Caenorhabditis elegans: one gene and its partners. The protein of the gene in region 1 interacts with the protein of each later gene in a pairwise test. Each region holds a gene or a part of one and is shown in the gene's direction. Other genes may lie near its edges. The genes, in order: F41G3.10, mlc-2 and Y39B6A.1.

The links.
Region 2: the proteins of F41G3.10 (region 1) and mlc-2 interact in a two-hybrid assay, tested with the Caenorhabditis elegans proteins (one large-scale study listed by BioGRID).
Region 3: the proteins of F41G3.10 (region 1) and Y39B6A.1 interact in a two-hybrid assay, tested with the Caenorhabditis elegans proteins (one large-scale study listed by BioGRID).

Annotation. Positions count from the first base shown.
Region 1 is NC_003280.10:6,745,884-6,753,152, reverse strand, and holds F41G3.10 (ShKT domain-containing protein), read left to right. Parts: upstream 1-3,630; 5' UTR 3,631-3,637; coding exon 3,638-3,794; intron 3,795-3,840; coding exon 3,841-4,029; intron 4,030-4,079; coding exon 4,080-4,238; intron 4,239-4,282; coding exon 4,283-4,461; 3' UTR 4,462-4,533; downstream 4,534-7,269. Other genes in the region: srx-95 (7TM GPCR serpentine receptor class x (Srx) domain-containing protein), read left to right, coding at 1-27; F41G3.21 (ShKT domain-containing protein), read left to right, coding at 240-414, 509-702; F41G3.19 (ShKT domain-containing protein), read left to right, coding at 1,026-1,200, 1,250-1,431; F41G3.20 (ShKT domain-containing protein), read left to right, coding at 2,141-2,306, 2,359-2,544, 2,899-3,060, 3,121-3,287; F41G3.5 (non-specific serine/threonine protein kinase), read right to left, coding at 4,567-4,687, 4,734-4,848, 4,897-5,225, 5,273-5,479, 5,529-5,620, 6,216-6,328, 6,376-6,394.
Region 2 is NC_003284.9:17,453,945-17,461,204, reverse strand, and holds mlc-2 (Myosin regulatory light chain 2), read left to right. Parts: upstream 1-4,618; 5' UTR 4,619-4,637; coding exon 4,638-4,775; intron 4,776-4,822; coding exon 4,823-4,955; intron 4,956-5,009; coding exon 5,010-5,158; intron 5,159-5,211; coding exon 5,212-5,304; 3' UTR 5,305-5,413; downstream 5,414-7,260. Other genes in the region: slc-17.1 (Sialin), read left to right, coding at 1-92, 139-279; mlc-1 (Myosin regulatory light chain 1), read right to left, coding at 1,049-1,141, 1,195-1,343, 1,398-1,530, 1,579-1,713, 1,973-1,975; C36E6.2 (Nbr1 FW domain-containing protein), read right to left, coding at 5,770-5,957.
Region 3 is NC_003283.11:19,198,590-19,207,492, reverse strand, and holds Y39B6A.1 (Histidine-rich glycoprotein-like), read left to right. Parts: upstream 1-3,885; 5' UTR 3,886-3,895; coding exon 3,896-3,947; intron 3,948-4,109; coding exon 4,110-4,262; intron 4,263-4,308; coding exon 4,309-6,311; 3' UTR 6,312-6,480; downstream 6,481-8,903. Other genes in the region: pph-5 (Serine/threonine-protein phosphatase 5), read right to left, coding at 8,570-8,653.

The DNA of each region.
Region 1 (7,269 bases):
TCAATTTCAGCTAGTGATTTCCGATAATAATGTATGATCCTTTATACTCTTTGTCCAATTTGCAAACAGTTAACTACTTGTTTTATTTGAATAAAAAATCTAGAAGTTTGACTCACAACCATTGGAGACAAAAAGGGCTTGCTGTGCAAATAGTGAAGGCAATTGAAGGTGCGATATAAAAATGAAATTTTGCAATTGTAACAAATCAGATTGTTTCGAGCTTACTAACTACTTGAAAAATGCAACAAATAACTTTAGTTGTCCTTGCTGTTTTGTGCTCTTATTCTTGGGGATGCGTCGATTTAACGAATCCAAGAACTGGAACCAGTGACTGTGCTAGACTCGCTTCTTACTGCACAAATTCGGTGTACCTGTCTCTGATGAGACAACAATGCCCAAGAACTTGTGGATATTGTAAGTTGTTTTGACCAAGTAGGAGCAGGCAACAGAATCCTCAATCTTGTGACAAACAAAATACAATTGCACCTTTAATGTGATCTTATATCAGGCAACTCCTCATCTTCCACAGCTACATCTGTTTCTTCAACAACTTCCTCGTCTTCAACTTGTGTAGATCTCACTAATCCAAGAACTGGAACCAGTGACTGTACTAGACTGGCGTCTTACTGTACAAACTCGGTTTACATACCACTCATGAGAACGCAATGTCCAAGAACATGTGGATTCTGCACATCTGGATAATTTGTAATTTGTGTTTTATTTTCCAAGTTAATGTATTATGTATCTATTTATACTTTCAAGGTCGGTAATTTAAAGAAAAAATAAAGTTTTGCAAATTTTTATTGTCTTATGAGAACATGCTGAAGCGTAACTGTAGTATACGCTACGCTGAATGAACATGTACAAATGTTGCGGAAGTTTGAAGTCTTTGGAATGATGCTTCTGTTCAAACAATAGTGTCTGTTGGGCCCTCATTATATATGAAAGGATTTGAAGAAAAAGATACCAACTTTATTCAGTTCTGTCAGAGGCCTAAGTATACTTCCCGAACATCCGAGTTCAAGATGCAAACAACTGTACTTTTTATTATGGCGGCTCTGTGCACCGTATCATGGGGTTGTGTTGATTTGACTAATCCATCGAATGGTGTCAGTGATTGTCCAAAGATGGCTTCTTACTGTACGAATTCGGTATACTTGACTCTTATGAAAACTCAGTGCCCCAAAACCTGTGGATACTGTAAGTTTATTATACTTTTGGAAGATTTGCAATGTCATCAACTTTAAAGGTACATCCTCATCGTCCACATCTTCCACAACTTCATCATCATCAACTTGTGTTGATTTGACAAATGCTAGCACTGGAGTCAGTGATTGTACTAGAATGGCTTCTTACTGTACCAATTCCATATACTTGACACTCATGAAGCAACAATGTCCAAAGACTTGTGGATACTGCACTTCCGGTTGAATTCATGATTCATAGAATTTCATGTGGCTCGTTGAAATTGTAATAAATTTAATACTGGAAGTTAATAATGGGGACTGATAATAAATAATGCACATATCAATTTGTTTTTCATTGCTATATAAAAAAAGGTTTTCGGTGTGACACGTTTAGGTAAATACTATTTTCATTTTGAAAGAATGTTTGAAAAATCAACAACCCGAACATGTAACTGATCTGTGATAAGTTTTCATATGACGTGATCTCTCTGATTGCCTCTGTCTCTCGGATTTGTCTCTCTGATTTGTCCAAATGAATTCATCACTTCCTTGAAGTTAGTTAAAAAAAATAATAGGGACTCTAAAGAATCTGAGGAAAACATAAGAAATGCCAGTTGAAGCTGGATAATGTTTGTATGAATAAACTACAGGAACCGGCAAACCCTGGCACAATTTTGGCCGTAATCATGAAGTGCAATTATTATAAAATCTCAAATTAAGATCTATGATCTATAAATAGTACCAGGTATATGACTTTAATTAGATTTGTTCTTGATTATTGAAACAGTGGATTTCTGCTTTAAAATGATGCGGAACTTTGTTTCCTAACACTTCCTGTCCCCAATGCTTCTGCTCAAATAAATAATCGTTGGAGAATAAAAAGTTTTCAATATTTGTCAGATATTCCTTTAAAAAGGATCTATCCAGGGTGGGATTAACAGCAATTATTTTAAATGTTTTCTCTCATTTTATTCGTTTGTTTCTCTTCATTTATCGGCTTCTCGTCTCAACAGAGTTACGGATGCACCTCGGATCCTCAGCCAGACTTGAATGGGGCTTGTCCAGATGACTTCACATATATCACCGATAGTGGATGTTGTCCAGATGCTGATTTATACAGTAACTTTATTGAAAATTAGTTTTCAAATAATCGTAGTTCCATAATTTTCAGCAATCACTACAACTGCCGCGGCAACAACCACGGTTGCAACAACAACTGCTACTACTGCTACAACTTGTGTTGATTTGACTAATCCTAGTACGGGAGTTAGTGATTGCCCTGGAATGGCTTCTTATTGTGCCAACTCTGCATACTTGACACTCATGAAGCAACAATGCCCGAAAACTTGCGGATACTGTAAGTTTTGAAATTTACTTTCTTAAGAAACATTTTATGCTGAAACATAAATCGAATTGGACATCGAGTTTTGGAGAGGCGCCTTTTATTTTTCGGTAAACTTTTCACCACAATTAGAAATTTATATGTGGCTGTTTGGCTGGAAGAAGTCATGTTTGAACACTTTCAGCAAAAATACTTTTGCCTAACTCTAAGGTAAGGGTTCTCGAAAAGTCGGCTCGTAAGTTTGCCGTATATTTTCATTTAGCTGCCACTTGTACTTATAAGTTTAGCAATTTAAGTTTAACAACATCAATTTCAAAAGCAAAGAAAAAGGCTAACTGAAGCTCTTTGCGAAGTTATATATTTTTTCAGGCACATCATCGTCTGCCACCACTACGTCATCTTCATCCACTTGTATCGATTTAACAAATGCTTCGACAGGGGTCAGTGACTGCCCAGGTATGGCTTCATACTGTACCAACTCTGCATATTTGACACTTATGAAGCAACAATGTCCAAAAACCTGTGGATATTGTAAGTAGTTTTCGACAAGTTAATATTTATCGTTAATATGATATGATGTACATTTTAAAGGTACATCTTCGTCCTCTTCGTCTTCATCTTCGTCTACCTGCGCTGACCTCGTAAATTCTTCAATCGGAGTTAGCAACTGTGCGAGCATGGCTTCCTATTGTACCAATTCTGTTTATTTGTCCTTGATGAAAACCCAATGCCCAAAGACCTGTGGATATTGCACCTAATCTTACATGTTTTTTAACAATGTCGATGTCACATGTTGTAATAGTTTGCAACTCTAATAAAATATTATTCATTTTATCGTTCAAACATTATGTTTTTTTTTTCAATTTCCAAAATCCTAAGTCCACTAAACTTTGCCCCATTTCGCGAATGAAACTCCCACGAAATCATGCGATTTATTGATACAGTTGCTTTAATTCGAAAACTATTCAAATACCAGTCATAGCTATGTGTGATATTTGCTCGAAAATGGTTTAAAAGCCCACTCGTTCACAGTTAGACACATTTCCAGAGTACTCTATTTTTGCTATTGTTCCCTCTTTCTATTATATGTAACATTTCCAGAGTAATAATGCTGTTCCAACTTCTGATTGTTGCTGCTTCTATCGGGATTTCGGTTCAACAACTAGGATGCAACTCCGTACCAATGCCGGATCTTAATGGAGCTTGCCCACCAGGAACCACACTCATTGCTGGAAGTGGTTGTTGCCCTGATGGAGACGTTTTCAGTGAGAATTTCAGATATCGCCGGTTTCATGAACCAAATTATTTCAGCAATCACCACAACATCTACAGCAGCAGCTGCTGTCACAACCACCAGAACTTCAGTGACTTCAGGAACATGTGTTGATTTGACCAATCCAAGCACAGGAACCAGCGACTGTACTAGAATGGCATCATACTGTTTCAACAGCTTCTATCTCACCCTAATGAGACAACAGTGCCCAAGAACTTGTGGATATTGTAAGCAGATATCCCCTCTTCTCTCACTCACTACAAAATTCCAATTTCAGGTACTGGAACTGCTACCACAACCAGAACCTCAACTACTTGTGTCGATTTGACAAACCCAACCACAGGAGTCAGTGACTGCACAAGAATGGCTTCTTATTGTAATAATTCGGCTTATATCACCTTAATGAGACAACAATGTCCAAGAACCTGCGGATACTGTAGGCTAAAATCAACATTTTCAATATGATATCTAAATGTTTAGGCTCTGGATCAGGAGTAGTCACTACTACTCGTACTAGTACAACTTGTGCTGACTTGGTCAACCCAAATACAGGAACAAGCGATTGTACAGCTATGCGTTCTTATTGCAACAACTCAGCATATGCCACTTTGATGAGACAACAATGTCCAAGAACCTGTGGATATTGTACTTCTGGCTAAAAAAATTACTGCGAACGACGTAGTCAAGCTCAAAAGCTAAAACACGTAGTCTCAATAAATAATTTTGAAGAATTCAAGAACTTTTATTAATTTCTAGATCCGGCGTCATCCATCCTCAATTTCAGATTCGTCTTTCGATCTCATATCTTCGTCCTTTTTTCTTTCCATTTTCATTTCTTCTTCCCACTCGAATGATCCATTGTGTTGACAATTTTCCAGGGCAAAACTGAAGGCGTCTTTATTTTACAGCACTATTTTAATTTTGATTTTACCTGAGCAATCCACGAATAAGTGCATAGTCAGGTGCATCGTAGAAGCGAAGATTGTCAATGTAAAGGAGAATATGAACAAGTTGTTTTGGGCATCCAGAGAGGAATTCACGCAATCCTGAGAAAATATTGTATACTTTATCAGTTTGTAAAGCTGTTTTCTCACCCGTAGTTCTTGCAACTTGCTTAGAATGCTCAACATGAATATGTTCTTCCATAGTCATCCAAGGCAATGTTCCAACTAAAAGTTCAACCAAAACATAAAAGATTGTTTCCAAATCCTCTTTACGACAAGAATCTCTTCCATAATGAGTAGCCAGTGGTGCATATCGAACAGTTCCCCTAAAACCATGAACAGACCATCTTGGATGTCTCAGTTGAGTTCCTCCATCATTCAAATATTTCCGGCACATTCCAAAATCGACCATCACAAGTTGATGTGGATTGTCGAGATTTATGCAAAAGTTGGCAGGTTTTATGTCACGATGAATGAATCTGAATTATTGAGTTAAAACACATTAATGATAATAAATGTTTTGTACCCAATGGAATGAAGTTGTTGGATGGCATTGATCATTTGAATTCCAATTTGAAGACCAGTTCGACGTGAAAACTTTCGATTCGGGCAGTTGGCACGAAGCTCGCTCAAATTCTTTCCGACAAGAGTCATAATAAGGAAATTGAATTTTTCCGCTTTCCCGCAAAAGAAGACACGACAGAAATAAGGTGAACGAATTGGGAGAAGGCTTCTGAAATTAGCTTTTGGTTGTATTGAGAAATATTCATAGAACCTGATACCTGAGAACAACAGCTTCCATTTTCAAATTTCTAGTTTCAGAGCTTCGGCTTTCAAGTTTCAGAGCAAATGGTAGAGTATTTATGTGATCGACCTGAAATGGAAACTACAATTAATTTCTGTGGGAAGCTTTTCAATTTTTGCTAACTTATTGAATGAAAAAGATGTATCATTCTTAAATTAAACTTCAAGGAATTTCAACATCCAATTCAAAAGTGATATAAATTTAATTTGTTCAATGTGTGCCCTATATTTATATTAAATCATGCAAATGTTCATTCCAATTTCACAAAAAATCATAACGTAACATTCAAGCAGAAACTTTAAAAAATTAGCTGAATCATCCAACTAATTCGATTAAAATATTATTTTCAAGTTTTTTCAGCTACAGAAGAGCTAGTGATCATAAAAAAAACACATATTTATTTTCACGAACACTTCTGTATCTGGAAATTTGAAGTCTTCTAGTTATCATGAATAGATAAATATAATATATGTTTAGAACTGCACATCAAGGAGAGCACTGCTTGTTGCTCCGTGTCGTTGTGAGCACCATGGTGACGTCAAAAAATAGATTGAGGGTGAGAAGACAGAAAAAGTGCACAAGCACTTTGCAAACAATATATAAATTTTCTAATGCGCGTATAATAATAATAATAATAAAACCCCGAAAAAATATTATGTAATACCTGATAGACAGCTCCAAATGCTCCTTTGGCGATAAACCGTACGACTTTATAGTCTAGAAGCCGATATCCTTTATCCAATTCAACGCCTTCAGAGACTTGATTCTCACTATTTTCTAAAGATTCGTGCGTGGCATTGACAATTGGAAAAGTTTGATGTTACCTTTACAAACCGTTCCCATGTTTCAACGGTGATAAATACACAAAATGAATAGAAATAATTACGAGACGGAAAATAAACATGATTATTTATCTTACGTTGTCTGTGGTAGAACTTTTCACGCACACTTAACAAAATATTTTTGAAATGTTCATAATTTTTACGTATAGGATCGTGATTTAAATTTTGAACAGAGGCTTTTTATGGTAGTTAATTCTGTGTTTCCGCTTTAATACCATCTTCCCTCGAGCTCAGCTTTTTCTTCTATAGATAATACCCCGAGTTCAGTCCAAACCTGTTACGCATAGAATATTCCTCTATTTATGAACTTTTGATAATTTTTTTTTCAACCAAGATATAAGCTTTCAAACTACGGTAATTCTAATATGGAAAATACTTTAGACCTCATTCCTAAATTGTCACATATTCTATGCCTTCTGCCTTTGATTTCTTCGTCTGAAATTTGGCAAGAAATCTGTTTACTAGTAAATTCATTTTCCAAATTTGTAGCTTTCTAGTCTAATTACACAGTCAGAAATCTGAAAATGAATCATACAATTTTCATAATATCAAAATGCAAAAACATTAAATTGTAGGTTTGGTTATCACTCAGAAAGATACACTTTTTTCGGATAAAACAATAATGTTTCTATTTCCATCTGCAATGAGTCAACTATTCAATTATCTAAACCACATTAGCATATCATAATGTATTGAAGATTAGAAACTAAACATAATAAGTAGATTACAGAACATATAATCTTATAGGACATCTGAAAATAATCTCACCTGCTACTTGGTCGAGTGACGTCAGTAATCCCCGTGTTTTAAGATTATAACTGATTTTCTCGATCTTCAGAATGCTCAGTCATATCAGAAAACTACGACTTCCTTCTC
Region 2 (7,260 bases), on another chromosome or scaffold:
ATGCTGGACATTTGATGGCCACGTCGAACACATTTGCGACAATTCCTGGAATTTTCGGACCTCTTCTAGTTGGAGCAATTGTGCAAAATGGGGTAAGCTTACAAGCCAGAGAAACTAAAAAAATTTACCTGTTTTTAGACAATCGGTGAGTGGAACGTGATCATGTACATCATAATATCTGCTTATCTGCTCGGAGCTGCAATTTTTTGGAAGTTCGCCGACGCTACCCTACAACCATGGGCCGCAGAGCACACTTCCTTTGTCGGACAGCTGGAATAGATGGTCAACATATCTAACTTTCCCACATTTCCTTTCTATTAGAAGCATAATTGATCTTTCCCCACAGAGTTTTTCCTTATTTTTTTTCTAGCTTTCAGAATTTTGAGGCTGAACTCCTTCAAAGAACACAATGAAAGTCTGGATGTTGAATTGAGACATTGTTTATTTTACATATTGAAAGTACATCGTAGAGCTTTGACTAGTCCCGATATGGGAGAATGTATATGCACCACAAGTAACTGCTCAGAGAAAATCTAGAAGAAGTTTGCAAATGTTTTGGAATACCAAAGTAATGAAAGTGGGTGAACACAAAAAAAAAATGACAAAACATGTAATGAAATGACAATAGAATTTGCGAGCGAGAAAAAAGAAGGAAAAACCATTTGGAGTGATAGAAGTGTGTACGCGCAGTCAGACGGCGTGGTTAGGAAATTGGGGTTGCCAGATGGCTTCGAAATGACGTTATTCTTCCCACTGGTGGAAGAAGTTGGTCAAACCAACCGGCAACCACACATTTCCAGGTGATTATAATGATCTCGGCTATAAAACTAAGGGTAAAGAGCGGCGAAAATAGAAAAATGCGCGCGGAATGGGTTAGAGCGCCGTCTGAACGCTGCGCCACACGGAATGACAACAATGAGTCTTGAATACACGGCGATGTATCATAGGAGCACGTGGAAAGGTCTTCAAATGAGACACCGTAATGGATTCTAGAATAACGTTGACGCCACTCCCAAAGTGGTTGCAATTGCTTGTGGGCTGGAGATGTTCAGGCGCTGGCGAGCTCGTCTTGGGCTCCGGTGGTAATGAGGTGAGCGAAGGCCTTGTAGTCGACCTCTCCTCCCTCGATTGGTGGCTTTCCCTAAAAAATGAGGAGTTGGGAAGTTTCAAAAATTTCAGAAAGAATGAATTTACCTTGTACATAGCCTTGACCTCATCCTCGTCCAATGGCTCTCCTCTCTTGTTTTGAAGGATCTTGATAAGGTCGTCCTCCTTGATCTTTCCGCAGTCCTTCTTGTCGAACATGGCAAAGGCTCCAATAATGGTGGCCTCTGGGTCAGTTCCTGAAATTAAATAGATTCAAATCACCATTAACTTATCAAATTTAATTAGCCTACCTGTCAATCTCTCTCCGAAAAGGGTGAGGAAGACGGTGAAGTTGATTGGTCCGGAAGCCTCTTTAATCATGGCGTCGATCTGGCTGTCTGGGGCGATTTGTCCCATGGAAGCGTAGAGATCCTTGAGGTCAGACTAAAAATTGTTGATTAGAACCATTAAAAAAATAAGAAAAATTCTAACCTTGTCAATTATTCCGTCCTTGTTCTGATCCATGATTCCGAAAGCCTCCTTGAATTCCTGGATGGTCTTCTGGTCGAATTGGGCGGCCTCGGATCCCGAGCGCTTCTTTGAGGACTTCTTCTTGGCGGCCTTGGACTGGAAAATTGAGAACATATTGACAATTTTATAGTCGATTTAATTGCTTGATTTTTAAACAAAGCCTAAATCTAAATGTTACGTTCTTAATTTACCAGAAATTTTTTAAAGATGAAACTGATTATAGAACCTCTGATTCAAAATAAATAATTTTTTAAATACAATATAGACAGGTTAAATCAAAATATATATGAACGCACTCCTATTCCTATACAGAAACTCATGCTTTTCAAATAACTTATTAAAAAATCCAACTCACCATTTTGTGGACTGTACTGAGTAGTGAACTGAGACTAACTGAAGATTATCCGTCGCTTTTGTCTGCCTTTTACACTCGTTGGGCCCCGCGTCGAGGGGAGGGCTGTTTGAGCAAATCTCAACAACTTTACACAAGAGGCGCACCGCCCCCGTGGTGCTAACATCAGGCACCCGTCGGAGGTTTCCAAGAAGATGGGCAAAACTCTCGCCTTGCTTGCGTCGCGATGCCTCTTACCCGCCATCGAAAAAGTTGCTCGATCGGATAAATGAGGGGATGCAATAAGGGAAAGGGAATAGATCATCCGAGCTTTAAATCTGAGCAGGGCACAACATAATCAGAATTTGTTTTGAGTTGGAAAGGAAGGTTTAAATTCAACATTTCCAACAAACAGGATAATTGAAAACTTGAAAATCTGAAACTCTTTTGTTTTGGAACTTGATTATAAATTTTAATTTTCATAACATGACTAAATGGGACATACTGAATTTATCAGATGGTTCCAGTAATATCTGTTTATAATATTTCACTAACGATAATTTTTTTTGACATATATTTTTCTGGTATAAATTATAATTTTCCTACTAATTGTTTCAACTACTTGTGAAATCTATTTGTATAGTTTTTTTTCAAGTTTTGTTAAAATGAAATAATTAATCGGGCGTATTTTAAGATAGGATGAAACAGAGCAAATATTGATTTTCACACAATCTTCAAAGTTTTGACATACGCAGTGATTTTTGATTTTAGGATTTGCAGCTATTTTTGAAATCAATAATTTTGATGTCATTGAATAACAGACAAAAATTGTGTTTCGAACTATACTCTCATTGGAGACAATTCAGAAACGATTCAGAAAAAAAAACCTTCCATCAGAATTAGTGTGACAAGAGGTTCTTACTCATATCCTAAATTAACAAGGATAACTTTTTTGATTCCTCAACTTTCAAACTTTTTCATCTGATTTTCTATTGAGTGTTCTGTCTACCAGTGCTCTTATCTGAAAACAGCTTTTAAGATAATGCGTCAGCTGGCAGAAACGCTTTTAATTTTGCTTCCTGTTTGTTAACTTATTTTTGAAACGTTTTACTTCGAAAAGAGTTAATTTTTTGGTTTGTTTGTAAATTTGAAAAAATCATTTAATGTTTATTATGAGCGTATTACAAATGTTCGTAAAAGTTATTATTATTATCACTCCACAATTTCCGTTTGTAAAATGAATAATTGAATTTTTTTTTCCAATATACATCAAACAAAATTGTGAAAAAATTGCTTTAACGAAATTGAAGCATAAACAATAGTTCTAATTCCAATTACAACAATTTGTGTAAATCAAATGTTTCCTCTGAAAACTTCAAACAGTAAACCATTAATGTTTTGAAAAGTACGATGATGGTCTGGAAAACGCGCTTTGAAAATTTGTTACAACACGTTAGAATCACAAGTTCAGATTAGCTGTCGCCTCTAAAAATCAATTGTTGAACAATGTCTTCTTCAATTTTTTGATAATCAGCAAGCACAACTACTAGAAACAAAATATACAATTTTAAAGTTGGCAAAGAAACATTGGATACAATTTTCCAGTCGCTTGGCATTTTTGTTGAACATAATTTCAATTTTTCGAAAAATTTATGTTTTGTAATGTTTTATTTTGATTTCCATACTTATGAAGTAGTAAAGATTTCTACTGGGCTCATGAGATACAAAACAATCTGAACATTCAATTTTTTATCTTCGGAAAAGTTCTTGCTAGAAAAACAATAAAAACCACTTATAAACATTCCTTTCAATTGTTCTCTTTTTACGAACTTGTTAATTTGTCTTCAGCCATTAGAAACAATATTCGATGTTACATGTTTTCATTCAACATTCAAAGTTATATTCTTTCTAATTCCTATTTTGTGTTAATGGGCCACCCTCAGTGCAACTCTGATCATTCATCTCCCAAAAATCCCTAGATTCCCTGCTCTCCACCCTCGCTTTTCTGCGCGCAGCAAAAAGCCTACCACCTTAACTTTTACCTGCTTTTGAGAGAGATGTACTTGAGAAAATATTCGAAGCCAAACAGTTGGCTTTTCCAAAAATTCTCTCCCCCATGCGTTGCCGCAACTCTGTAGATATTTGCGTTTGTCGTTTCTTCACAAACAGATATTGCGTATATCTTCCCGGCCGTGTGAGGGTGATCAGAAAGTCTGAGATCCCCAAAGAGAGCACAGACACGGCGCACGGATCACGGGCACTGCTCTTTCTAGCGCTCTTTGTGTCGAGCTTCTGCTTGGGACACATTATCTCTGCTGGCAAAACTGATCGCTGCCCGCTGTGTTACACTCTATCTCAAACGGCATCCCGGGAATCTGCCACCCTCCACCAATTGCCTACTAACTTTGCCCGCCGTGGAGAGAGCACCTCCTCTCGGTCTCTTTTCGTATCACATTCCTCCCATCCAGCTACTCCTCCTTCCCATACGCCTACCAACCAACCATTATTATCTCAATGCTCTCGACAAGATCGGGACTTGGAAAAGGCTTCTTCTTCATACTTTTCATGGGTGCATTTTTAATTTTAATTTGTTCGTTTCCCAAGCAATTTACTTCTATCATTGTTTCGACAATTTTGTGTGCTACCTGTAAACAAATAACTGAGTTTCAGGTAGAGAACCTTTTCCAACATGTCCAAGGCCGCCAAGAAGAAGTCCTCAAAGAAGCGCTCGGGATCCGAGGCCGCCCAATTCGACCAGAAGACCATCCAGGAGTTCAAGGAGGCCTTCGGAATCATGGATCAGAACAAGGACGGAATCATCGACAAGGTTAGCTTTTTTTAAGTTTTAAAATGATACTAATGAACAATTTTTAGTCTGACCTCAAGGATCTCTACGCATCCATGGGACAAATCGCCCCAGACAGCCAGATCGACGCCATGATCAAGGAGGCATCCGGACCAATCAACTTCACCGTCTTCCTCACCCTTTTCGGGGAGAGATTGACAGGTAGGCTTTTCAGATTTTCTAATGGAATTCAATTCATTATTGCAATAATTTCAGGAACTGACCCAGAGGCCACCATTGTTGGAGCTTTTGCTATGTTCGATAAGAAGGACTGCGGAAAGATCAAGGAGGACGACCTTATCAAGATCCTTCAAAACAAGAGAGGAGAGCCATTAGACGAGGATGAGGTCAAGGCTATGTACAAGGTAAATTCATTCTTTCTGAAATCATTGAAACTTACCAATTCCTCTTCTTTCAGGGAAAGCCACCAATCGAGGGAGGAGAGGTTGACTACAAGGCATTCGCTCACCTCATCACCACCGGAGCCCAAGACGAGCTCGCCAGCGCCTAAACATCCGGCAATTGCACACAAATCTTACATTCTTTCAAATAATACTTTCTCATTTATTTCTCCAATTATAATCTTTCAATGGATTAGTGCAATAAATGGTGGTGATAAAATTAGTTGATACCAATGACTTCTAATGTTATTTTATAAAAAGGCTAATAGGTATTGGGGAAAAAAGTGATGAATAGTTTGAAAAAGAAATGCGAGAGGTGGAAAAGGCAACAAATCTGTACTGGGTGTCTATCACAATTGGAACAAATCTTAATGAGAAAATATGTTTCAATAAGGTTCATTACAGAGTTACCAGATGTCTGATAACCCGAGCTACGTTGAATTTTAAAAGTAAAATAGTTAGAAGATTACTTTTGATTCAATAACTGCATTGAAATTTACATTTGATTAAGATATCCCACGGTAAATAATTGATGATCATCACAATAATAACAATAGAATTTACAAGGTCTCGAATCATTCCATCATGTCCTCTTGAGGTGGATCAGGCACTGGAGATGGATGTGTCCCACTGCTACTTGGTCCTTCCACAAATGACATCACAGCGAGTTGCCGATGGAATGGATCCATTGGTTGCGCGGAGACTTCCATCGCGGCTTCTGCTTCAGTAAGTGGCCGCACTCGAATGATAACCCAGATTGATTCTGAAAATGTGGAAACATTAAAATTATGAGGTTTCTGAAGTAGCTGAATAATATTTAAGTCTTTGAAGAAATTCGATTAGTTTCAAAAAAATTATCTTTGCTGATTTGTACAAGCCGTTTTGAACCTGAGTTTATATTTACGTTTTAAGGTTTATTTTAAATTTATTTTCTATATTTCACTGATTTTCTTCATTTTTGTGGTTTTTTAATCGGAAAATAAAAGAAATATACAAGAAAAATGCAAATAGTTCATGAAAAAATCACTGAAATTGCCTAAAACTCTGAAATTATGTGATACGACGACAACGAGCCTGAAATTAGTATATTTTACAGTTTTAGGCAATTTCAGTGATTTTTTCATGAACTATTTGCATTTTTCTTGTATATTTCTTTCATTTTCCGATTAAAAAACCCCAAAAATGAAGAAAATCAGTGAAATAATGAAAATTAATAAAAAAAGATAATGAAAATAATGCAATCGTGCTCCAACGAACGAGTTCAATTGGCGGAAATTCAAATAGAAATTAGGGGAAAACTGACATTTTTTCAATTTTCAAAAAATCATATAAAATCAGGGAAATTTTTTTAAATTTTTTTATCATGATATTCGGCCATTGTGGTACCATAGGCATGTTTTGAAGCGATTTCCCCACAGGGTGTAGTCCACCTTTAAAGCTCTAATTATTAAATACTTCTACTCCAAAAATTAACGAGAAAGGAAGAAAAGAGCCAGTAGAGAAAATGTTTGAAATTACTCATTTTCAGAATCTCATATCTCTGCAAACTGTTCAAAATTTTAGAAAGTTGCTGAAAATCCGGCATTGTTTATAAATGTTCAAAAAAGAAAAAAAATAAGTTTTCTTCGTTTGTTTTTGAATGTTTTGACAAAATCGGCACTGGCTCTTTCCGGTCTTTGAGCAACTTGGCAATTTAAAAATTATCTATTTATTCAAGCAACATTCCGATATTCCGGTATCAATTAACGTATTTCCTCTAATAGTCTTGCATGCAAGACTAACTTTCACTTGGTCAGTAGTGTTGGGTATCATTGTTGGGTTACAACAATAATAGATATTGCAAGACAATTTTTAGAATGTTTGATAATTTTAGAAAAACGATCAATCTTTGACAAAAACCTAATTTAATACAAAAAAAAACTACAAAGAATATATACTTTTGCAATAGTTCATCGGCTATTTTTTTACAGTGCATTAGTTTTTGTTTCATATCTAAAATTTTAAATGGAGGCGCATTTATGCGTTAACATATTTTGATATCATATATTTATAATAATCTATCTATG
Region 3 (8,903 bases), on another chromosome or scaffold:
ACACTTCAGTGAATCCTAACGTTCAGTTGACTAATTCAAATACTTGACAAAAATTTTAGAGCTCTGCGATAAGTTTGAGCCAAGTTATGACTGTTTAAAACTTTCGGCGTGCGCTGCGGTCGCGTCGCGGCTGCCCCATAAATTTCAAAACGTCATAACTTGGTTCAAAGTGGTCCGATTGGCTTGAAATTTTTGCAGTATACTATTATTATTACTCGCTACCTATTTCACATTAATTCAGACATTTTGCTAAAAAAAATTGGATTCCCGGAAAACCTGCTCCCCGTCGATCAAAGTTGCATCGTAGATCATGAAAGTTGTTTGTTTCCTTTCTGTTATCACAGACACGTAGCCGTCGATTGTCAAAACTCCTTATCACACCCTTCGTCCCGAATGGCAGAGGAGGAGATCATTGGAAAAAAAAATTATGGCAGCGTGGCGTGGAAGAGCAGGCCCATTAAAATATTGCGATCAACTTTTTATGGTAAATGTCAAAAGATCGGCAACTTGTTGAGTTGTTATTGTAAAGTTCTGTTTTAGATCTTTAAACTGCTGGAAATTTCGGGATTTTCTTGGTCTTGGCTTAAAAATTCGCGTTTTTTGGAAAAATATCCCATCTGTTGTGAAGATCTGCAGTTTTTTGGATTTTTCATTAGATTTTAAATGAAATTTCTATGATTCGTGTTCAGAATTACTCAAATTCATGCCAAACGTCAGATAACACTATAAAAACCAACAAGTCAGAAATTCGTCACTTTGCCGTGCAAATAGTGACTCATAATACCCTCAATTGCAATGAAAGTGTGGTTTTTCCCAACTTTTTCCACAATTTTTTACAACTTCTATGTGTTTTGGGTTAAAGTTTAGTTTCAGAGCTATTTTGGTTGTCAAATTGACTTTTTACTTCGAAAAAGTGGGAAAAACTAACATTTCTTGGTAGAAATCGACTTTTTGTCCACTTTTCAACGCGTACTATTGATTTTTGTAGAAATTCAGAAACCTCCGGCAAGTTTCCGGACTAAAATGGATTTTCCGGGACCCTTGTGCCAACTTCTCGAAGAATTTAAAGAAAAATTCGGTTTTTCTCGCAAAAAAAAACAGATTTATATATAGTTATACTAGAAATAAACTACTAGAAATCGGTTCTGGAGCCGATTTTTCAGAATTCCGTTCAATTTTTTGAGAAATTCAGAGCCTTCAGGCAATTTCTCTAAGAATCGTGAGAGTTTTCCGGTATAAATGGGATTTCCGAGGTTTTTGAAGAAATTCAGAGCTCCTCGGGGCAATTTCTCTGAAAATTCTCCGAAAATACCGGTTTACAATGGAATTTCCAAGGAATTTCTCGAAAACACACATTTTTCCCGTTTTTCAATGGAAAAAATCAACAAAACTACTAGAAATCGGTTCTGCAGCCGATTTTCGAGCATTCGTCTTGATGTTTTGTGAAATTCAGAGCCTTCCGGCAAATTTCCAGTGAGAATTGCCAAAAATCTCCTTTTTAAAATGATATTCGCCGTGTTTCTCTCGAAAGAGTACAACTTTTGGCATAGAAATTGATTTTCCCGTGCTTTTCTGAACTTTCTACTGATTTTAAAAAAAAATCCCAGGAATTTGGGCAATTTTCCGTGAGAATTGTCTGAAAATCCCGTTCTAAACCGGAATTTTCAGTCGAAATCGCGTATTCAGCTCGACCAATCGGTGTAATTTGTGCAAACACCGTCACGCGCAAATGCAGACATTTTTGCACGCGGAATTCTCATTAAAATGCAATTCTCATTAATTTGTCAGCGAAAAGCAATAAAACCTCAACCACCAGATGCAGTTTTTGATTTATTCACGTCTTTTTCTTCTCGTTGCCACGATTCGGGTAACCGTTCCCGGAAACTTTGTCACGTGGGGCCACTCTATATTCTCGGAGCAATCGTAAAACTACATCAAAATTTGATAAGGAAGAGGAAAAACGAGTGGCAGCGGCAGAATGACCGATAATCAATTATGGAGAGAGAAAAACCTGCTGATGGCACATTTTTCGAATAGTTTTGCGGTTTTTGGTTTCGGAACGTGGGGCGGAAATTGCTCCCGAATGCTGAAAATGTACAGGAACTGGAAAAAAGTCAAGGATCTTAAAAATTAGGCTGCCTGTATGAATTCCACGACAGTATGCTGTGAAATGCTTGAAATTTCAAGTCAAAGGCCCAAAAAATATCAAAGTTTCAGGAAAATTGAGGAAACATCGATTTTCGATGTTTTTCCGGAAAAACTATCCAGATTTGAAGCTTTTTCTCCTAATTTTCCCGGTTTTTTTTGAGAAAAAGTCAAAAACTCGAATTTTGAAGCCAGAAGATTGTCAGGAAACGGAAATTTCTGACAAAATTGCTCAAACTCCTGAATTTTCCACCGGAAACCTTCAAAAAGTGTAGTTGGTACTTCAAAAACCAGTTCAATTGCAGCAAATTAAGAACATTATAGAGATAAGGAGTATTAATTGTTGGTGCAAATAATGAATTATAACCACCATTGCAAGATTGAATGATCACATGATATTTGGAAAACTAGAAAACTAGTATTTCGAATTTCCAACAAAAAAAAGGTGTTAAGAGCACCATTAAAAGTTTGCCATCATCTTTGGAAATGCCACAGGCTCATAAAATAGCAGTTTTGGGTGTGGCTCTTCAGAAAACACAGTTTGGAGTTTTTAGGGGCAGTTGGGAAAGGTCGGCGGGTGCTGAAAGCTCCGAAAGCCCAATCAGAGCTGCTGAATTTGGTTAAAATCTGGAAAACCAGGAATCTAACACCTTGAAGCAACCCAGTGCTGCTCAGAGCTCTTGAGGGCAGCTAAAGCCAGTTGGGAGCTTCTAGAGGCCCATAGAAGCTTATCGGACCAATAGGGAGCTGCTAGAAGCCGTGCTCGTCGGAGCTGCTAAAATCTGCTAGGAGCCACTGGGAACTCACAAAGGACTTGAGGCCTATTAGAATAGTACAGGGCTCAGTAGAAGCAAATTAAATCCTTTAGAAAGCTTGCTTGAACTCCTAGGTCAGGCTGGAAGCTTCTAGAGACATTTATGAGCTGTTGGAGGCAATTGGAAGATTTCAGCAGTCGGGCTTTTCGGAATCACTAAGAGCTCGTGAAGGCACTTTAGATCTGCTAGACGATCACAAGGCTTACTAAAAGCAAATTGAAGCCTTCAGAAAGCTTGCTGGGCGCCTAGGCCAGGCTTTGAACTCCTAGGTCAGGCTGGTAGCTTCTAGAAGTACTTGGAAGGGTCTAGGACTAGTTGGAAGCCGCTAGAAATGTCTATGATCTAACTGAAACAATTAGAAAATTTTAGCAATCAGGCTGCTCGGAGCCACTTGAAGCTTATTGGAAGCAGTTAAACGTTCCAGAAAAGGTCAGTGTCCAAAGGTCAGGCTCTTTTTCGGTATGCTAGAACCTACCGAGACCCGAAAAATCACAAAAACCTCCAACTTCTCACACAAAACCCTTCAGTGAACTACTATAATACAATCAGCTGAAAATTTGAAAATTTTGAAAATTAATCAAATGCTGATGCTCAACAGCTGTCAGACTTCATCACCTCTCCTATTACCTCCCCAAATATTACATCACTCTGACAATCATCGTCCCAAATTTTCACGTTTCTCCTTCTCCGGGTGTCTTATCTCGATCTCTCACTTCTCCAAACATCATCAAAACTTTTAATTGCCTCCCGTGTCAAAATGGGCGGAGTCAAACTTAAGGGAGGCGGAGCCTAAAAAAAGCTTATAAAATGGGGCGGAGGAGGACGGTGATTATCAAAATTTTCGGGGCTTTTTCTCGATTTTACTTCTAAAATCCCTCTTAACTTTGAATTTCGAGTAAAATTCTGAAAATTCTGAAAATTCCAGAACCTAAACAATGACGGTGCACCATCATCATCACACCCACCACGTGTCGCTTCACAAGATCAGTGAGTTTTCGGCGCTTCCTGCCAAAGATCATTCTTATCAGTGAAATTACCGAAAAAATTAGAAAATTTCGGAAATGTTTGCCAACACAACACAACTGACATGTTATCAGTTGTAGTTTCTTAGTATCACCTACGGTAGTCAAAGATCATGATAATTTTCAGAGAAGCTCTTCTCGAAGCACTCCTCGCACGGGCATAAGCTCACTCGGGATGAAGCTCGCTCGGCGCTCCACGATATTGAGCACCTGGCCAAGGAGCTCCACTTCCAGAAGGTCTTTGATCATCATGCTCATGATGGACACATCTCATTGAAAGGTTGGTCCGGAGCTTTGGAATCTCTTAATAAACAGGAATATTTCAGGATTCCTGAGCTTCATCTCCCCACACCACGGTCACCATACCCATCATGCTCACGGAGCCCATCCAGGCCACCACGAGGTCCACCACCACCATCACCATGTGAAGGCTCAGGACTCGAGCAGCTCCAGCTCCTCCTCCAGCAGCAGCTCGAGCTCCAGCTCCTCCAGCTCATCCTCATCCTCTTCCTCTTCGTCTGAATCCGAGGACGAGAAGCACCACCACAAGAAGCACGCCAAGAAGCATCTTAAGAAGCATCACAAGAAGGCCGAGTCTAGCTCTTCCAGCTCATCCAGCTCCTCGAGCTCCAGCTCAAGCTCCTCTTCCAGCTCCTCATCTGAGTCCGAAGACGAGAAGCATCACCATAAGAAGCATGCCAAGAAGCATCTGAAGAAGCATCACAAGAAGGCTGAGAGCTCTTCCAGCAGCTCATCGTCAAGCTCCTCTAGCTCCAGCTCCTCCAGCTCGTCTTCTTCGTCGTCGGAGTCCGAAGACGAGAAGCATCACCACAAGAAGCATGCCGTGAAGAAGCATCACAAGAAGGCCGAGTCTAGCTCGTCCAGCAGCTCGAGCTCGAGCTCCTCCAGCTCCTCTTCCTCATCCGAGGATGAGAAGCACCATCACAAGAAGCACGCCGCCAAGAAGCACGTGAAGCATCACAAGAAGGCCGCTTCCAGCTCCAGCTCTTCCAGCAGCTCCTCTTCCTCTTCCAGTTCTTCTTCATCGTCTTCTTCCTCGGAATCTGAAGACGAGAAGAAGAAGAAGAAGGTGCATCACAAGAAGAGCCACGGAAAGAAGCATCACAAGAAGGCCGCGAGCTCTTCTAGCTCTAGCTCTTCCTCCAGCTCCAGCTCCAGCTCCTCATCTTCCTCAGAATCTGAGGACGAGAAGAAGCACGCTCCAGCCCATCATGAGCACCACGAGCACAAGGATGGAGCTCATCACGAGCACAAGGAAGGAGAGCACCATGAGCACGCAGCTCATCACGACGAGCACGGAGTCCACCACAGACATCATGGAGAGCACCATGGGACCCACCACTCCCCAGCTCATCACGGGGAACATGGGACCCACCACGGACACCATGGAGAGCACCACCATGCTCCAGCTCATCATGGACACCACGAATCCCATGGACACGGACATCACTCCCCAGCCCACCACGGACATCATGGGGAGCACCACCATGCTCCAGCTCATCACGGACATCATGGAGAGCACCACCATGCTCCAGCACACCATGGACACCACGGGGAACATGGGACCCACCACGGACACCACGGATCCCATCACTCCCCAGCTCACCACGGACATCATGGGGAGCACCACCATGCTCCAGCACACCACGGACACCACGGGGAACATGGGACCCACCACGGACATCATGGAGAGCACCACCATGCTCCAGCACACCATGGACACCACGGGGAACATGGGACCCACCACGGACACCACGGATCCCATCACTCCCCAGCTCACCACGGACATCATGGGGAGCACCACCATGCTCCAGCTCATCACGGACACCACGGACACCACGGATCTCACGGAGTTCATCACGGACACCACGAATCCCATGGGCATGGTCACCACGCACCGGCTCACCACGGACACCATGGGGAGCATGGAGTTCATCACGGACATCATGGAGCAGGCTACGGAGCTCACCATGGACACCACGGAGCCCACCACCACCACGCCCCACACCATGAGCATCACGAACACCATGGAGATCATCACCACGGATCTCACGGAGTCCATCACGGACACCACGGAACCCACCACTCCCTAGCACATCACGGACATCACGGAGGTCATGGGACCCACCACGGAGCCCATCACTCCCCGGCTCACCACGGACACCACGGAGCCCACCACGAGCACGGAGCCCATCACGGAGCCCACCACGGACACCATGACGACAAGGAGAACCACCACCATCATGGACACCATTCGAAGCATTCAAAGAAGCAGCACACGAAGAAGTCACATAAGAAGAGCCACTAGACGGGCGGTCGATGAGCTTCTGCTCGCCACAATTGATGCGTCACTGCATTACATGTACTTTTTGGATAAATCCTGAACAGCCTTTTTTTTTTGTTTGTATCGATTTTTCTAGCGAATTTGTAATTTTTTGTACCAATTTTTCCGTGTCGAATAAATTAATTTCATTGTGTTTAGTGGAGAAAAACGAAGAAAAAAAACATGAAAAATTGCGATAGCAGCGCCCAAATCTTGTAGTTTGTAGTTTTAGCAGCGCCCAAACTCACTTTTTCTTCATTTTTCCAATTTTTTGCCGAAAAAACAGTCGAAAACTAGGTTTTTTATACGAAAAATCGCATAGCAGCGCCCAAAACTTGTAGTTTGTAGTCTTAGCAGCGCCCAAAATTGAATTAGCAGCGCCCAAAACTTGTAGTTTGTAGTTTAGCAGCGCCCAAAATTGAATTAGCAGCGCCCAAAATTGAATTAGCAGCGCCCAAAATCTTGTAGTTTGTAGTGTTAGCAGCGCCCAAAATCTTGTAGTTTGTAGTTTAGCAGCGCCCAAAATCTTGTAGTTTGTAGTCTAAGCAGCGCCCAAAACTTGTAGTTTGTAGTCTTAGCAGCGCCCAAAACTCGTAGTTTGTAGTCTAAGCAGCGCCCAAAATTGAATTAGCAGCGCCCAAAATCTTGTAGTTTGTAGTGTTAGCAGCGCCCAAAATCTTGTAGTTTGTAGTCTAAGCAGCGCCCAAAATTGAATAAGCAGCGCCTAAATCTTGTAGTTTGTAGTCTAAGCAGCGCCCAAAACTCGTAGTTTGTAGTCTAAGCAGCGCCCAAAATCATGTAGTTTGTAGTCTTAGCAGCGCCCAAAATCTTGTAGTTTGTAGTCTAAGCAGCGCCCAAAATTGAATAAGCAGCGCCTAAATCTTGTAGTTTGTAGTCTAAGCAGCGCCCAAAACTCGTAGTTTGTAGTCTTAGCAGCGCCCAAAATTGAATTAGCAGCGCCCAAAACTTGTAGTTTGTAGTCTTAGCAGCGCCCAAAATTGAATTAGCAGCGCCCAAAATCATGTAGTTTGTAGTCTTAGCAGCGCCCAAAATTGAATTAGCAGCGCCCAAAACTTGTAGTTTGTAGTCTTAGCAGCGCCCAAAATCTTGTAGTTTGTAGTCTTAGCAGCGCCCAAAATTGAATTAGCAGCGCCCAAAACTTGTAGTTTGTAGTCTTAGCAGCGCCCACAATCTTGTAGTTTGTAGTCTTAGCAGCGCCCACAATCTTGTAGTTTGTAGTCTTAGCAACGCCCAAAATTGAATTAGCAGCGCCCAAAACTTGTAGTTTGTAGTCTTAGCAGCGCCCAAAATCATGTAGTTTGTAGTCTTAGCAGCGCCCAAAATTGAATTAGCAGCGCCCAAAACTTGTAGTTTGTAGTCTTAGCAGCGCCCAAAATCTTGTAGTTTGTAGTCTTAGCAGCGCCCAAAATTGAATTAGCAGCGCCCAAAACTTGTAGTTTGTAGTCTTAGCAGCGCCCACAATCTTGTAGTTTGTAGTCTTAGCAGCGCCCACAATCTTGTAGTTTGTAGTCTTAGCAACGCCCAAAATTGAATTAGCAGCGCCCAAAACTTGTAGTTTGTAGTCTTAGCAGCGCCCAAAATCTTGTAGTTTGTAGTCTTAGCAGCGCCCAAAATTGAATTAGCAGCGCCCAAAACTTGTAGTTTGTAGTCTTAGCAGCGCCCAAAACTTGTAGTTTGTAGTCTTAGCAGCGCCCACAATCTTGTAGTTTGTAGTCTTAGCAGCGCCCAAAATCTTGTAGTTTGTAGTCTTAGCAGCGCATTATCCAGTTTTGGGTGGTTTTTCTAGAAAATTCTCGCCGACTACCAATCACACCTCCGGGGTTCGAGTCCCCGCCGTGGTCGAATTTTTTTGTTGTGTTTTTTTCCAAACAAGTTAATCATGCAAATTTCATATTTGTCTGAAATCTTTCGTGTAATAACTATAATCATAATAATAAGAACTGGGATGTCGGGGAGAGAAAAAGTGTGTGTGTGTGTGTGGGAAATTCCCCCTGGGAATGGGAAAAAGGGGTCCCGCGTGGAAGAGATTTTCGTTTCGTGGCGAGACCCAAAATGTTTGGGGGAGGTAGGGGTGGGGGTGGGAGGGGCTGGGCTAACAAAACAAGATTTTTGAGGGGGGAAACGAAGAAAAAAAAAAGAAAAAATCGATAATTTAAAAAGAGAAGAGAAGAAAAATCACAAAAAAAAATTGGGGAAAAAATTGAAAATAGGCCTAACTCGGCCTAATTAAATCCGAAAAGACTGTTCGCGTAGGCCATTGGAGGCAATTTCGGATGTGGAACCGCGTCGAATGGCGTGAATCGGGGCTGAAAATTGAAAAATTGCAAATATTAAAAAAAAAAAAAAAAAAAAAATTTTTGTAGAATTTTTCAGTGAAAATCTGAAAAATTCAAAAAAAAAAAAAGTTTTTTGAAAATTCAAAAAACTGAAATTTTCAAAATTTTGGATTGTTTCCGATTTTTGAAAAAAAAATCTCCAATTTATCGATTTTTTGAGGCTTTACAAGCAATTTCAGCAATATTTAATTTTTTTTTTCAAAGTTTGTAATCAATTTTT